Linked DNA regions of Styela clava. The protein of the gene in region 1 interacts with the protein of each later gene in a pairwise test. Links are inferred from orthologs where the notes say so. Each region holds a gene or a part of one and is shown in the gene's direction. Other genes may lie near its edges.

Region 1 (6,569 bases):
TTTACGTTACACTTACATTGCCCAACAGTCTAGGTGGACGAAATCTTTGGCCCTTGGTCCAAAAACCTTGCCCGCCCCTGGATTAGACCAGCCAACCCATTGATTATGTTAAAATTATCAAGTAAACAATATTGCACCACCTTATTTGTTTCTAAACCTCAGTGCAATGTTTTCACCACATATCTGTCCGAAGTTAATGATAAATGAAAGAAAGTAACCAAAAATATAAAACTTCAATATCATCAATTGATTGACATAATGCCATAGCATAACGCAAAAATGGAAAGTATATCTTGAAGACAAAATAACATTATCTGACTATCCGTAAACCAGTAACTCAACTGTAAAACGGAATCCAATGAACACAAATTATAATTAAATTTACATTACGCATTTTGTGTGTGTAACACCTTAGTTTGCACTGGACTACAGATTATTAGACCAGCGCACTGATGATTAGGAACAATGTAGATCTATATTTACCTACGTTTCCAGAGTGATTCTGTATCCTTATTTCTCAATCCGTGTGAGATATATTATCTCTAAAATAAACAAAAATCCCTACTCGATACAACTAGAGGCACGCATTCCAAGCCTGGCACCCAAGCACAGCCATCTGGCACGCGAGCGTGTTCTTGGAAACGTGGTCCTCCCTTAGATAAGATTTGAATACTTATCCTGGGGGTGAGAAAAGCCGATAAGACAGCTTAAACATAATATAGCGAACCATGGCCCCTCCAGTTACCATTCCATGTCGGGTATGGGACTAGTTAGTTATTGGACCTTACAATTGGACACGTCAGTGTACATAACGATCGTTTCAATATTATGCTGTTGTTCTTGTTAGTTTTCTCTTTCGTCATGATGAAATCGCTGTTCTCTACGAATACTATACCAATTGCTTCTAAATTTTCAGCGGTTAAAGATTGTTTTTTTTTGTCAAAAGGCTATTGTTTTTACTTATTTCAAAAATTTTGTGGACTTCAAGAGATTCGTTTTTTCATGTCAGAATAAAATAGCGACACCTTGTGACGTATCCATATATTTGAGCACAGCTCTCTTGTATGTTTTCGGAAGCATGGACTTGATGGTGGAGAAAGCCGTATACCCGACTAGCGGTTACGTGAATCATTCTACGGCGACGTGGAGTCCAGCAATGCTCTTGCACATTACCTATTAACTGAATATTCCGTTAACTATGATATTACTATCCCCGCATGATATTCGGACCTGCGAACATACGTTTTCAGAGGTGCGGTAGCGGGCGTATTCCTAACGCTTAGCACGATGAGCCACACCACCGCGCCATCTTTAGATAAATGTCGTATTATCTGATGAAACTTAATGTTTTTGTTTTATCTTCGTTTGTTAACAATCCGTTCTTTACTTAAACTAGGGTTGCCATATGCTATATTTTTCCCTGACATGTCCGGGATTTCAGTAGTCAAATTTGCGCCAGGGAGAAATGTTAAATGTCAGGGATTTTCGAATACAGGGAATCTCTGCCACAAATCGTCGAGTTTTTCATATATCGCGGATACACGGAATCCTATTTCCTAAGATCGTGAATTGTCAGCATTTTGTAATCGATATTTTGGTTGGACTACCTTTACCTGTACTTTATCCCGTTCTAGGGCTTAGTAGTGCTAAGGATTAAGCAACAAGTTGGCTCTTTTCGTTTTGCTGTGTATGTATTCTTTTCTCACGACGTTTTTCACGTTACAAAGAAATATATTGTAGGAAGTTGTAGATCGCGTGCTAGTTTGGCTTGCTTATTTATTATCTACATCCGCATATGGAAGTGAATTACTGTTCTCAGTGATGAACTTTTTTTAAGTATCGTAAAAGAAGTACCTGACTGATGAAGGTATTAGTTTGTGTATTTCGTTGAAGGTTACAAAATATGGGGCTCCCGAAGTATGCGAACCAAGATGGTGGACATCGGAATGTAATATTTGTACTAGGTTAGGGTTAGGCCATAATTTTAGGTATAAATACTACGAGAGGCTCTTGGCTAGTCTTCGAACTGATAATAGGACTAACATAAGGAAAATTGGAAAAAAATTATCGCCTAACCCTAACCTGTTACCCATGTTACGTTCCGATGTCCGCCATCTTGGTTCGCATACTTCGGGAGCACCCAAAATATAAACCTGATATAAAATTTATGTCAACGATAATACAGTAGCAGAAGTCTCACTGAAATAGCAAAAGAAAATTGATAAAAATATTTTTGTCGGACTAATATTTTCTTGAAATGTAATTTAATACCTGTTTAAAAGGTTTATTATCCTGCAGGTTTTGCTTTGAAAGTAGCAAAGCATTGTTTTTAAAAAGAATAAATTCATATTTGATTTAATACATTTTCACAAATTCATTGCCGAGCGGAGGAATTTTGCCATTTTATTTAGTCAATTTTGGCACGCAAATCAAAAAAGGTTACCCAATGCCCACCAGTGGTGAGCTGTGGCCGGAACGACATTCCGGTTGTATAAGTTCCCCCGACCTTTCACCCCGTGAAAATTCATTCTATACCTTCCTAATGAGGTTTGTATTGAATTGCTATGAATACTTCAATAATTTCACACAAACATATTTCATATATATAATTTATTTGCAGTTCTGTAAACGTCCGCGTCGTGTTCGGAATATATTACATTTTTGTGAATTAGGTGCGTTCCGGTTGTTACGATTTTTCCAGCTCATCACTGATGCCCACCCTTTATATGTTTATGGATGTGTATATTTTATGATTAGTGATCAATAATGCTGTAACTGTACTGTGTCAACTGTGCTTTAAATATCAATAAAAAAATTATCAAATAAAATAAGACACAAATAAAAAATACTCATGAAACATCATTATTTATTGTCGAGGTCCTTAAATCCCGAGGGGGCATCTGACTCTGATGCCCAAGTTGAATCGCTTCATTCTCGGAACATTTCGATCTATTCACCAAACTCGGTGTGCCATAGCGATGCCTATGCGCAATCACCGTGTTCATATATTCGAGCATTGCTTAATTGTTTTACTATGTATACAGTAATAATATCATTATTACAAAATTTACCGAACAAATGAATCACATGGACATCTAGTTATTTGGTTTGATAAATTTAACGATTGAATGTAGAACACGTGGGACGAGTCGGACACGTAAGACAAGTGGAACACGACATTTTGAAGACACCGCATAAATCGTGTGTTTTTGCTTTGACAAATTAAATGAACTTTCTTTCCCACTCTCTCTCTCTACATCTACAATAACGCGTTCATAATTTAGTTGTATTGTCTGCTAGGCTTACCCCTACTTCCACCTTTATCAGTGACGTCTGCCGGCATAAGATAAATTTACAAACAAGTCGTAAAATGCAATTCAAGAAAACAACATTCGGAGTTAAAAGCCTTTCTCTAAGATAACAGCAAACAAACTGTTAGCAAAATATCACTCCACATGTGATAGTATAACCACAATCTATGCCATCATATGTTCGTGTCGCTGGTTCGAATAATTTCTCATTTTTATTTTTAATATTTATTTAGTATATAATACTGTAAATCTTCTAATTATATATCCCGTGTATATGCATTTATCAGCAACTGCCACTGTTAATAATGCACGTATAGTTTGCTTTTGTCTTATAATAAAATGAGAATTTACATATTCGGTCACACTTCATTCGGCAATAATTGTTTTTCCGCCATATTCTGGAATCCTGTTCAAAACTGTGCAAATTTTTATCATCATTATGAACGTCATTATCATTGCACTGATAGATATGATGAATTGAACAAGTTTATATGCTCCTGTATATGTGATCGAGAATCTCCATTTCCCGTTCTTTGACATGGCTTATGTACACTCTCCTCTCTGTTAAAATTAGAGGAAGTTACTTTATTTCGTTGTTATCTTAATATTGGAACCCAGTATTTATAAAGTGAAACTATTGGGCATTTGTGCAAGTTTAATATGGTATACTCTTCCAAAAACCACTGGATGGGATAATTGGGTCTAAGCACAAAAAGCACTCAATTTTACTTTGTTTTGCTCGTTTGCATTTTGCTGAAGTGAACTCGTGGGTTGTTTCGACTCGCACAGTCCGCTGAAATTCTCATTGTTTTGCATTTTACTGAACGTGAAGTCGACCAATGCATCGTTTCGAGTTCGACCCGCACTGTTTGCTGAAATTTTCATTGTTTTGTATTTAAAAGTTATTGCCTAATTTTATATCGTGTATGTTTCCGGGACCCCTGCAATTTTTTCTCCTTTTGTGGTTCTGTTGTATTGATTGATTGATTGATAGTCGTCAAACCAGCATTTGCCGGTAACCTAAGAAAAGGCTAACGAGAACAACAACATACCAACAAAACTATCCATTGGTACACTTCAAGTCAAGTTTTTGTAATCAATATTCTGCCCCGGAAGATGGCGCACTAATTCCGCGCCGTCGTCCACGCTTTGTGATGGTTGTTGTTGCGCTGCGGCTCAATTCAGCTTGACTTTACTGTTAACGAAATACAGAAGTTGTGTGAATTGTTCAGGCTTGTGATGGCTGATGCAAAACCTAAGGATGTTAAGCCTGACGGCGATCAACATATAAACCTAAAGGTGTCAGGACAAGATGGCTCGGTAATTCAATTCAAGATTAAACGTCGCACGCCAATGAAAAAACTGATTACTGCATATTGTGATCGGCAAGGAGTTCAAATAGAAGCCATGCGGTTTCGTTTTGACGGGACGGCTATTTCGCTCGAGGACACCCCAGAAAAGCTTGAAATGGAGGACGATGATACAATAGATGTTTTCACTCAGCAAACTGGTGGAAACCTGTAAATATTTTCCAAGCAGCTTGTCTGGAATGTTTATACTGAGAGTATGATGATTATCTTACCTTTCTGCCTTTATAGACCATCAAATGATGGTGGTTCCCACCGAGACTGAGATTTAATGGTAATTTACTGACAAACTGCTCAAAAATGCCATGGACAAATGGAATACTCTCTTGTCCAGTTGTCTGTTTTGTGATCTATCAAATGGCTATTTCGGTATTCAGATGAGACTATGATATATTAGAATATGATACCGCATACGCATAATATTTCGATATGTTGGCTAATTATTGTATTCTATTGTCAGATACAGTAGATATGACATTACAACCAAATACCCAGGTACTAGTAATGTTGAATATGAGTTAAACATAATATAACATATTATTTGGCTGACACTGAATAAGGCTTTGAAAAATAATCATTATGAACAACTGGAAAGCAGAGTAATGTAAAGTTGTTATAATTCTATGTTTACATTAATTGCTGAATTGTTCTGTTCAATCATATTTTTACAAAAATGAAAATAGTATTCCCATTTATTTTGATATTTGTTTCCAATTTAGACCTTTTTAAAATTGCTGAATTGTGGTATCAAGTTTTTCTTTCTAGGCTATGTTAGTATGTTTCTTTTAAGTAGTCCTGTTACAATATCATAGAAATATGGTGTTTTGGTTGAGTTTTTATTATCAAGTGACACACATTATTATAAGCAAATAAACCTTGAAATCCTGAAATCAGTCGATTCAACAACTGCTATTATTTGGTAATGAAATATTCCTTGTGCTGAAGAATAAAACTGCATTGATTCGAAGATGTTTCATTTTGTCATTTATTCTATTTCCATTTTCTGTTCATTGTTTATAAAATAATGTCTGTCTGTCATATTTTAGTAAATTTAGATTAAAATCACTATATATAGCATGATATAACTGCTAAATGCTTTGTATATCACATAGAATAATTAGTCTTTTTTGTAACAAGTCATGCCATTTCACATTTATTTGCAATACTTTCTCTATTTCATCTCAATATTCTCGTAAGAAAAAAATTATCACTGGCAAGCCATATAGAACGGAAGAAGAATTGGTAAGATATAGCCGATTCCTTAGGTAGTGATTGGCTGTTCCTTATATTTGATTCATAGAATGCCAGTGTGTCAAATCAAAAGTTTTTTCCAAGTTGTTTCTATCTGAATGATACAGTTTAATAAACCCTTTTTTGGTTGACTTAGAGAATGACTGAAGTGATTTTAGCTTTTTACGAATTTAAATAAATTAGTTTAATGTGGTATATTACTATCCGCATTGTGACCAAAGTTTTAGATGGCACTTATGCCATGAATAACATCACTGCATTAAGTTTGAATGGTTTGCTTGCTACCAGTTAAAATGCACATTGAGTAAAATGTAACGATGTGAAGTTTGCCAATCAGTACTGAAGTTATGCATTTATTAATTGATGCCACTTGTGTCCTCATTTCATTTTTATTTGTGGGATGTATGAACTATGAATTGTATACTTCAAGTTATATTATGTGTGAATGCCATAAAACCTATTTCTGTTTTATTTAGGCTCAAAAGTTCATTGACCACAAGTTGATAAAAGTCTATGCAGGCAAAGGAGGAGATGGAAGATCATCGTTTTTGAGAGAAAAAAATCGTCCTATGGGTGGACCTGATGGTGGAAACGGTGGAAATGGAGGCAATGTTGTATTTGTAGGTAGAAGTAATTGATT
Region 2 (8,298 bases), on another chromosome or scaffold:
AATACGGTACTATTCGAATGGAAAATTGTGTTTCACATTGTTTATTGAAAATTTATGATTTCCCTTACTTAAAAATACGAAGTCAAGTAATCTTTGTAAGAACTTTGTAAGATTGCTTGAAATTGAAATGTTCACAGGCCGTGTGTCACTCACTCATCCTACTAACAGGTTAAATTTACCTGTGTTACATCACATGTTCCGATCTGAATTATATAAAATCGGTCTCCGTACATTCCTTCCTTTATTATTACTTTATTTTGAGGAAACGCCTCATACTGCATGTAATCGACCATTTCCTGCTTTTGTCTTTCATCAGAACGTTTCAGAAGATCATTAGATGCGATTGCCTGAAATAGAGAAACAAATATATTACAAAAGAGCAGACTAAAGTAATTTAATGCTGTATGAAAAACAGTCAAGGTCAGCAGCATCTGGGTTATCCAATCCAACAAAATTTGACAAATCAACAAAATTTATATGCTTTTTTATACCTGTTTTTAGAACATTATCTGTTTTAATTAAAAAATATTACTCTTTTATTTTTTAAAGTACTTGCACCTGCGAGTGGTAGAATGAGGCAATCTGATATGTAAATTGACTACATTTGTCTTTCCACAATTCTCTCCGCAAAGATAATGAATAACGATGGAAATATTGATTAGACACAAAAATGAATAAATCAATTTGTATCAAATTACTTATCGGTGAATTGAAAGTAAGTCGAAGCAATTTGGATGAGATTGATATTTATTGTATTGAATTAAAATGACATTGTTTGAATAACTGCATTTCTATTTGACTTTTGTTTTAATATTTTTCTATTACGAAATTGAGCACTCACGAGAGAACGATGCTTAAATATATGGACACGAAAGTCAAATGACTAATATGGCCACTGCAATCTCATAAAATGTTCGACCAACGGCTCCAAGAATTGTACCTAATGTCATATTAAATAGCACGGAAGGATGAGGCCGTGATATATGAAAACCAGCGAAATGAGAGTAAAAGGCCAGGCCCCGTAGGACTGAAACGGCTAATCTTCTGGCATTTTCCTCCATCTTCAGTTCAAAATCTGTAGGTCCATTGGTTGCCGAGACGACACGAAAACAGTTTTGCAATACGATTCATTGATCCAATTTTTGTTCAGAAAAGGGCGCATTGACTGAATTGTCTAGTCTATTTTCTCTACGTGACGAGGTTGAATTTTATCACATTAACAAAATAGCAGCAAGTCTAAAAATTAGACTGGAAATCGAAAGAATTGAATAAACCATTATATAAGGTATCAAAATACTTACATCCAATAAAAACTTTCTGTCATTCAGATTTTTTTCAACTTTTACAGCTTTCACGTTATCATTTTTCACCGTGTTTCCTCCAACACCGGGACGATGACGCCTTTGAGGTCGTTTTTCTACAGGCGGCATCTAAGAGAAACGAATAAAATTGGTTATTGACAATCTTTAATCATTATTTTAAGTTTCCCGTAGTCATGGTTTCGTAAGGCTTGATCTCGAGACATTTATGGCATGTTAATGCAAATGAATGAACAAAATTTATCAGTGTATTAATTTAAAACAGCTGTAATTTAAACAAATTTGAATAAAAAATAAAACAATTTCCAACATGAGTTTGTGATATGAAAATTTATAAGGACAATGACTTTAGGTAAACCGGGCATTGAGATTGTATTCAAAGTAGTAATCTAACCTAACCAGATAAGAAGAGTCAACTTACAACATCTATAAAAGTTCCCTCCATTTGTTTGATTTTCTTGTCTTTTTCTTGCAATTTTTCTCCCCATTCTTTCTCTTTTCGTTGGAAATTTTTATCGTTTATCTAGAAACATAAGAAAAATATAAATTTCTCCGAATGCTAACGCGCTAACGCGAGTTTATTTCGGCACTGAAGTTCACAGCAGTGCAAATTATTGCATGTAATTTGCGCCGTGTCGTCGTAAATGTATTTGTGTCTTCACGGCAGAAAGAGTAAAGCAAAGCCAAGAGTTATGTATTGTCATTCGATTTTTTATAATTATATAAATGATTTATATCATTACATGTATAGCATTGAAACATTTAGTTATTAGTTTCAACTCCAAGAGTATGTGCACCAAGATGGCGCACAACCTGAACATAGTATGTGTATACCAGGTTAGGGTTCAGGTTGTGAACCATCTTCGGGAGCGCCCAAATATGTACTGTTACGGTAGCAGACTCAATGTAGTCCGATATTGTTTTGTATTTAGCGATAGTTGTAAATATATGATAAATTATTTGATGATAAACGATTACGTATTCCAATGATGTTCGTATTTAAAGATTTTAAAATTAAATCATATATATGTATTGAAATTTGAAACAACTTAAATTATTTTTGAATTAAGCCTCAAAATTAATTATTGATTTTACCAATGAATAGTTACGATAAATAAAACATAAAATTAATTAAAAATAATCATTAGGTTCAAAAATCAATTAGAGGGAATTAAACAGCACACTGATTCGCATTTCACTCAGTGAAATCATACGTCAAGTTTCTCTTCCAGAGCTTTTACGCTGTTATTCAACTCTAATATCTCATCATCTTTTGAACTCAAATTCGTTTTGAGCTCACTTTCTGATTCCGATTTTTCCTGAATAAAATTTAATTTGTGAATATTTTCTGCCGTGGCTTAAAATTACAATAAGTTCATAAGTAAAAAGCAGTGTTTGGTGTTTGTTTGACGAATGCTTAGTAACGCAAAATGTTAACCTTATATCCGAAGATCGCTCCGAAAGCAGTGTTTATTTTTACGATAAGGATGTTTAAGTTAGTCATGTAGTCGGAATTATTTATCAGCTCCAATGCATCAATTCTGCGCAGCTGTATTCTGCGGGACCAAACAAAATCAACTTATGATTTAAATTGTCCCAGATTAGGTATGACATTGTATAATATTTTAATTAACCCGTCGTTGTGATGGTGAGAGAGCGCATGCGATGCTAGTTCGATACAAATTCCCGCGTAGTTCATTCGAGGTTTCTTCTATATATATGCGTGATTACGGTGGCGTAGTGGCTGACATTAACTAGTCAGCAAAATTTCGAATGTGACGCAACAATTGAACTTTTAGCAGCCGTTCAAACAACTTTTAGCCGTTCAAACACCCAGAGGGATTTTTGAGCATGACAGAAACGTTAGATTGATTTTCTGACGTTTCAGTTTAGTTACAGAATCAACAGTTATTCTCTAAAAAGCCGAGATAGACTATCCTAAAATTAGCTACCGGTACTTTTAATAGCAGGTAAGCAGATACGTTGAATCAAAATGATGGTTATGAACATGTGAACTAGTTTGTACATTTCAAACCACGAAAACATTGCTGTAATAAACATCAAACTTTTTGCGGATCTTTTGTAGAAAGCCCCCGACACTAATGCAAAATTGTGGGATTTGGGAAAACGACACCGCTATGTTTTTAAATAACAAATTAGTAATTATCTAGTTGAGGTTCAAAATGATTTGACAATTTCCAACGCAATCTGCAACTCAAACACTAATCGGATTTTTACAAATTTTCTTGTTTTGAGCGTTTGGCGCGGGTGTTGTACGAAAGATCCCATTTTGCAATGGTTAACTGTAGAAAAATTTCTGGGGTCAAGGCTCGGGCCAACATCTGTTTACTTCGAATATTTGCCAAGTTTATTCACTCATATTTTAAACTTATTCTACGAATGTAATTCATTTCAGTCAACTAATATTGACTGCAATCAATCATCAGTCTTAAGGCCTTGTTGGAAGTTCAAACAAGAATAAGGTCTCTCATGACGATGCTATTTTGTTAAATATTTATTCAGCAAACCAACGCCCAAAATTAGCCGAATTTTGCAAACAAATATATGAGAAATCGATAGATTTGGGTATTAATCAAATACTACAATTTATTACCAACAAATATTAAGAAAATGGTGCTCATTTTTAGAGAGAAAATTGTAATGGTAACATTTTATGCGTGTATAAATAATTATATATAGTGTTGATTAGCCTATATTGTTGTGAGCATGTCCCATTGCCGGTTATGTCAAGCATAGTGCTAACGATCTGTGATCTATGTAATGTACAGGGCATATAAGAACCAACATATGGCAATATTTAATCTGACATTAAAATTTGTGCACTAAAGAAGACTGATATAAATAAAATCAGTATAAAGTGGTTTTATCCTAATTATAACGAGTTGTGTTGAATTTAGCCAAAGCCAATAAATCCTCTTTTGCTAGCGAAAGAATTTATTGTATGCTGGATCTATGTAATTTTATTGACAAAATGTCTCAGACAATTACTCAAACCACTGCAAATTTCAACACAAAGATATACGGTAGTGAACGCGCTGCATCAACGTATTATATAGGCTCTGATGCAAGATAAACCAAATCTATAAGGTCAAGTAAATTCCAGGTCCGTGAAGGATTACAACTGACAAGGTTCTCAAAATACAACAATCAACGGTGTTATGCGACGTATTGGCGAGGCCAAGATTTTTGTTCTGTACGGCACCCATTTTCGTTGATGTAGTAATTACTAAGATGTACCGATATCAGGGATGGCCAATACCGAATAGTTCACTATTTCGAATACATTCGAAATTATTATTTTCGAATATGAAATTTCGAATACTTCGAAAGTAAAATCCAGTAATAGAATCTAAGTGTATGAAGGAATTTTCATACAATAAACAATGGAATAACTTCTATCTACAACCTGGCTATATTACCAGGCATTTCATGTTTGCAGATTATTGCGATATATATTTTATATAACATGAGTTGTATTAATTAACAGAATTAAAATAATACGACAAGGCATTTTAAATAGTGGTATCGGTGATGGATTTGAATGCTTGCGCAACACAAAATCATCCTAGTAAAACGCCCATACTTTTAAATACCAACCATTATCCAAATTATTTGTCAAAAAGCGGGATAAAGTATGAGTTCATTTTCAGACTTGTGACAATTTTTTTGTGAGTACAAAAATACGGATCAAAAAGTAAATATATTCGGGAACTTTACCACACATTTTAAGTCCGCAGATCGCCGTTGTATGTTTGTGTAATAATACTTTTATTATTTTATAAATACGAAAATAGGGTTCAAAAATTATTTATAATCGGGTAGTTTACCACACGTTCAATGTCCACAGATCACCGTTGTATTTTGTAAATACGAAAATAGGAATCAAAAATTAATATCAATCGCGAGTTTGCCTCACAATTTATGTCCACAGAATGCCGTGATATTGTGCCCGGATATAATTAATTTTTGATTCTTATTTTCGTACTCGAAAAAATTGTCACAAGTAGGAAAAATAATTTATACTTTATTACACATTCAAGTCCACAAATCGCCGTTGTATTTTTGAGTTATAATAGTTTTAATATTTTGTAAATACGAATCCGAAAATAATTATAATTGGGCAGTTCACCACACATTTCATGCCCACAAATACCCGTGGTATTTGGTATTAATACTTTCATTATCGATACTTTTGACCATCATTATCAAAATTATTTTCCAGAAAGCGGGTGAAAGTATTTTTCTAATAAATCAACTTGTTTCCCAACTTGTGACAATTTATTGGATATCGTAACAATTACGGCTATAAATACCGTATTTCCCGGCTAATAAGCCTACATGGCAAATAGGACGATGTATATTTTTAGCACTCAAAAAAGGGGGTTTCCCATATAGGCCGCCAAGAAGACGGGTAGAAAAATTATTCCCTGTTGTTCAGTTATGCTAATATGCGCTAATAATAATGTTTAGAACCAGATCACGTTTGTTTAGTAGAATCATACTCACAGAATTAACTATTTTTAACAATAAAGCGGTAATTTTAAGTTAAAAATCACAATCATTTTGAACAATCTATAATTTTATAGGGTCAGAACAGAACCAGATCATGTTTGTTTGGTAGAACCATACTCACGGAATTAACTATTCTCAACAACGAAGCGGTAAATTTAAATTATAAAGCGGCAATCATTTTGGACAACCTATCAACCCGAATGTTGAAATAATTTTGGAATGTGATAAGTACCACACGGTACGTCCACGGGTTATTTCACAGCTGTGTTTCATGTCCCTGTCGTTTTCTGCTGAATCGGCAAAACCAAAGGGTCATAAATCACTTACTTTATCTCGGTGGCGGTGGCCGTGTTTTCTCTTTTAAGTAACGATAACCGGCCTACGATTAAATATCATGATTGGCACACCCATAAGAACCAAATATAAGGTTTAACACAAATTATGCTTGAGAAGACTAATGCGAAAAATAAGCAGGCCACATAGAAATAAAATAAACATGCTTTCTCAATAAGGCGCCCCTCCCCCCAAAAAATCAAGCCAAAATTGGGTCTAGAAAAGCGACTTATTAGCCGGGAAATACGGTGATTGTCGATTTTTCGACTAATGGAAATGATTTTGTGAATTAAAAGACGAATGTCGGCAATGTCCACCAACGCAAACGTGCAAATGTGTCGCAACACTATGCGACGTACATTCGCGCTGAATATAAACAATCAAAATGCCGACTCATCGTCATGTAATACGTGAGAAAGCGTAAAAAGTCGTTTGAAGATTCCGGTAAAACGAAACACCGTGTTTACGGCGAAAAGTGACTACTATTCGTAATTATTCGGAAATGAGCCGAAAAGGTATTCGAATACCTTGATATTCGAATAATTTCGAATATTCGATTCGTTTTGGACAACCCTGACCGATATCACTATAAAAGTTGTCTGCGAACTATGTCTACAGTGAACAGTATTTCAGATTGAATAACCAACGGTTTATTAAAATACGTGAAGTAATCACATCGTTGACTGCTTTATATCATGGAAATTTGGATCCCAACACTTTCCTTAAATCTATACGACTGAATAAAATAACTAGATAATTATTCCTCTACCTGACATGTACTGATAATCGGACGAGAGGTTGTAGTACGCCCATGGTTAAGCCGTCTTATCGACTTTTCTCCCATAGGAATCACAAAGTAAACTATCTTATGGTAGTTTATGTAGATGTTTCGATGTTGGCGCGAGGAATGAAGAGTCACGCAACGGGAAAATTCACCATGATGTCTGATAGATATTTTGTCATGTTTACCATTTATTATTGAAAATGTAAACAAAAAACTTTGCCAGCGAAGATAGTCAAATAAGTTGAGATGAAATGGTTCATGAATAGCTAAAAACAGGTAAAATCTGCATAACCTATCAAATTGTCAAATTGAAAGTATAAATGATAATAACTTGATTTCAAAACAGTAAGAAGTTTAAATTGTAATAAAACGTCATGGTACCAAAAAACGAACGCCCTAATACCTGTTTCTACTCGCTATGATGTGAGCAATAGACTCGGAGGCAAAAGATGCCGCGGACATGATCCGTTATCGACATACGTATACTAACTTATCTGCTTGAAACATTCTAAATCAGATTAAAGTGCTAAATATATCGGCCTATTTTAACCGATACTGATATCGAAAAATTACCGATACATAGGGACATTTCTATAGTGAGTACTCGTAGTGGGTACGGCCTTCAACTTTTCTATATATATATATATTATGCTCGACCCCATCTGACTACGTCATCGAAAATTACGTCACAAACGATATAACAAGGTCAAACAGAACTAACTTTAAAAAAATTTATTCCCTATCTTGTGTTTTTATAATATTCAAGCACTGAAAATTAAACGTGAATTTTTCTTAAGCTTTTGTCACTTACTCGAAATTCTTGTTGAAGTGCAGTAAGATTTTTATTTAGTTCTGCACATTTTTCTTGCATTGATTCCAGTTCAACTTGTTTCTGATTCAGTTTTTCTTCGAGCTCCCTAATTTCTTCTGGGTAGTTCTTGTAAGATTCTTGTCCCTTTCCATCTGCTTTGTTTTTCGGACAGCAACATAGTAGAAACGACATTTTTTCCTGTGTTCAAAGCAATAATGTGTAGCCAAATATAAATAGTACTATCCTAAAATTGATTCATCTGTGAATAACCAACATTAATTAATATACACGAATAATAATTTATCAAATATAGAAAAATTATTCTTTTTGTTTTATGTTTCAATATTATTAAATTCTTGAATGAAACATCTTCTGTATTGCTCTGACTCATTCCGAATATGAGAACATGTCGTAACTCTAATAAAATGACCTTAGAAGCTACTTAAACTTGTCAGTCTTATCTTTCATTGACGTTACTAATCTTCAAGGCCATGGGCCTATTACAAAGGATGTAATAA

The links.
Region 2: the proteins of small ubiquitin-related modifier 2-A-like (region 1) and E3 SUMO-protein ligase PIAS2-like interact in a two-hybrid assay, tested with the Caenorhabditis elegans proteins (2 studies listed by BioGRID). The link is inferred for Styela clava from reciprocal best matches to the Caenorhabditis elegans genes smo-1 and gei-17.

What each region holds. Positions count from the first base shown.
Region 1 is NC_135251.1:15,394,146-15,400,714, reverse strand, and holds small ubiquitin-related modifier 2-A-like, read left to right. Parts: upstream 1-4,411; 5' UTR 4,412-4,550; coding exon 4,551-4,835; 3' UTR 4,836-5,728; downstream 5,729-6,569. Other genes in the region: mitochondrial ribosome-associated GTPase 2-like, read left to right, coding at 5,771-5,920, 6,406-6,553. UniProt on the Caenorhabditis elegans protein: Ubiquitin-like protein which can be covalently attached to target lysines as a monomer. Does not seem to be involved in protein degradation and may function as an antagonist of ubiquitin in the degradation process.
Region 2 is NC_135261.1:9,102,211-9,110,508, reverse strand, and holds the start of E3 SUMO-protein ligase PIAS2-like, read left to right. Parts: upstream 1-4,810; 5' UTR 4,811-4,820; intron 4,821-7,780; coding exon of another isoform or gene 7,781-7,972; exon of another isoform or gene 7,973-8,034; intron 8,035-8,298. Other genes in the region: cGMP-dependent protein kinase 1-like, read right to left, coding at 180-347, 1,302-1,430, 1,741-1,842, 2,534-2,638, 7,781-7,972. UniProt on the Caenorhabditis elegans protein: Functions as an E3-type smo-1 ligase. Mediates smo-1 conjugation to air-2 in vitro and is required for proper chromosome alignment.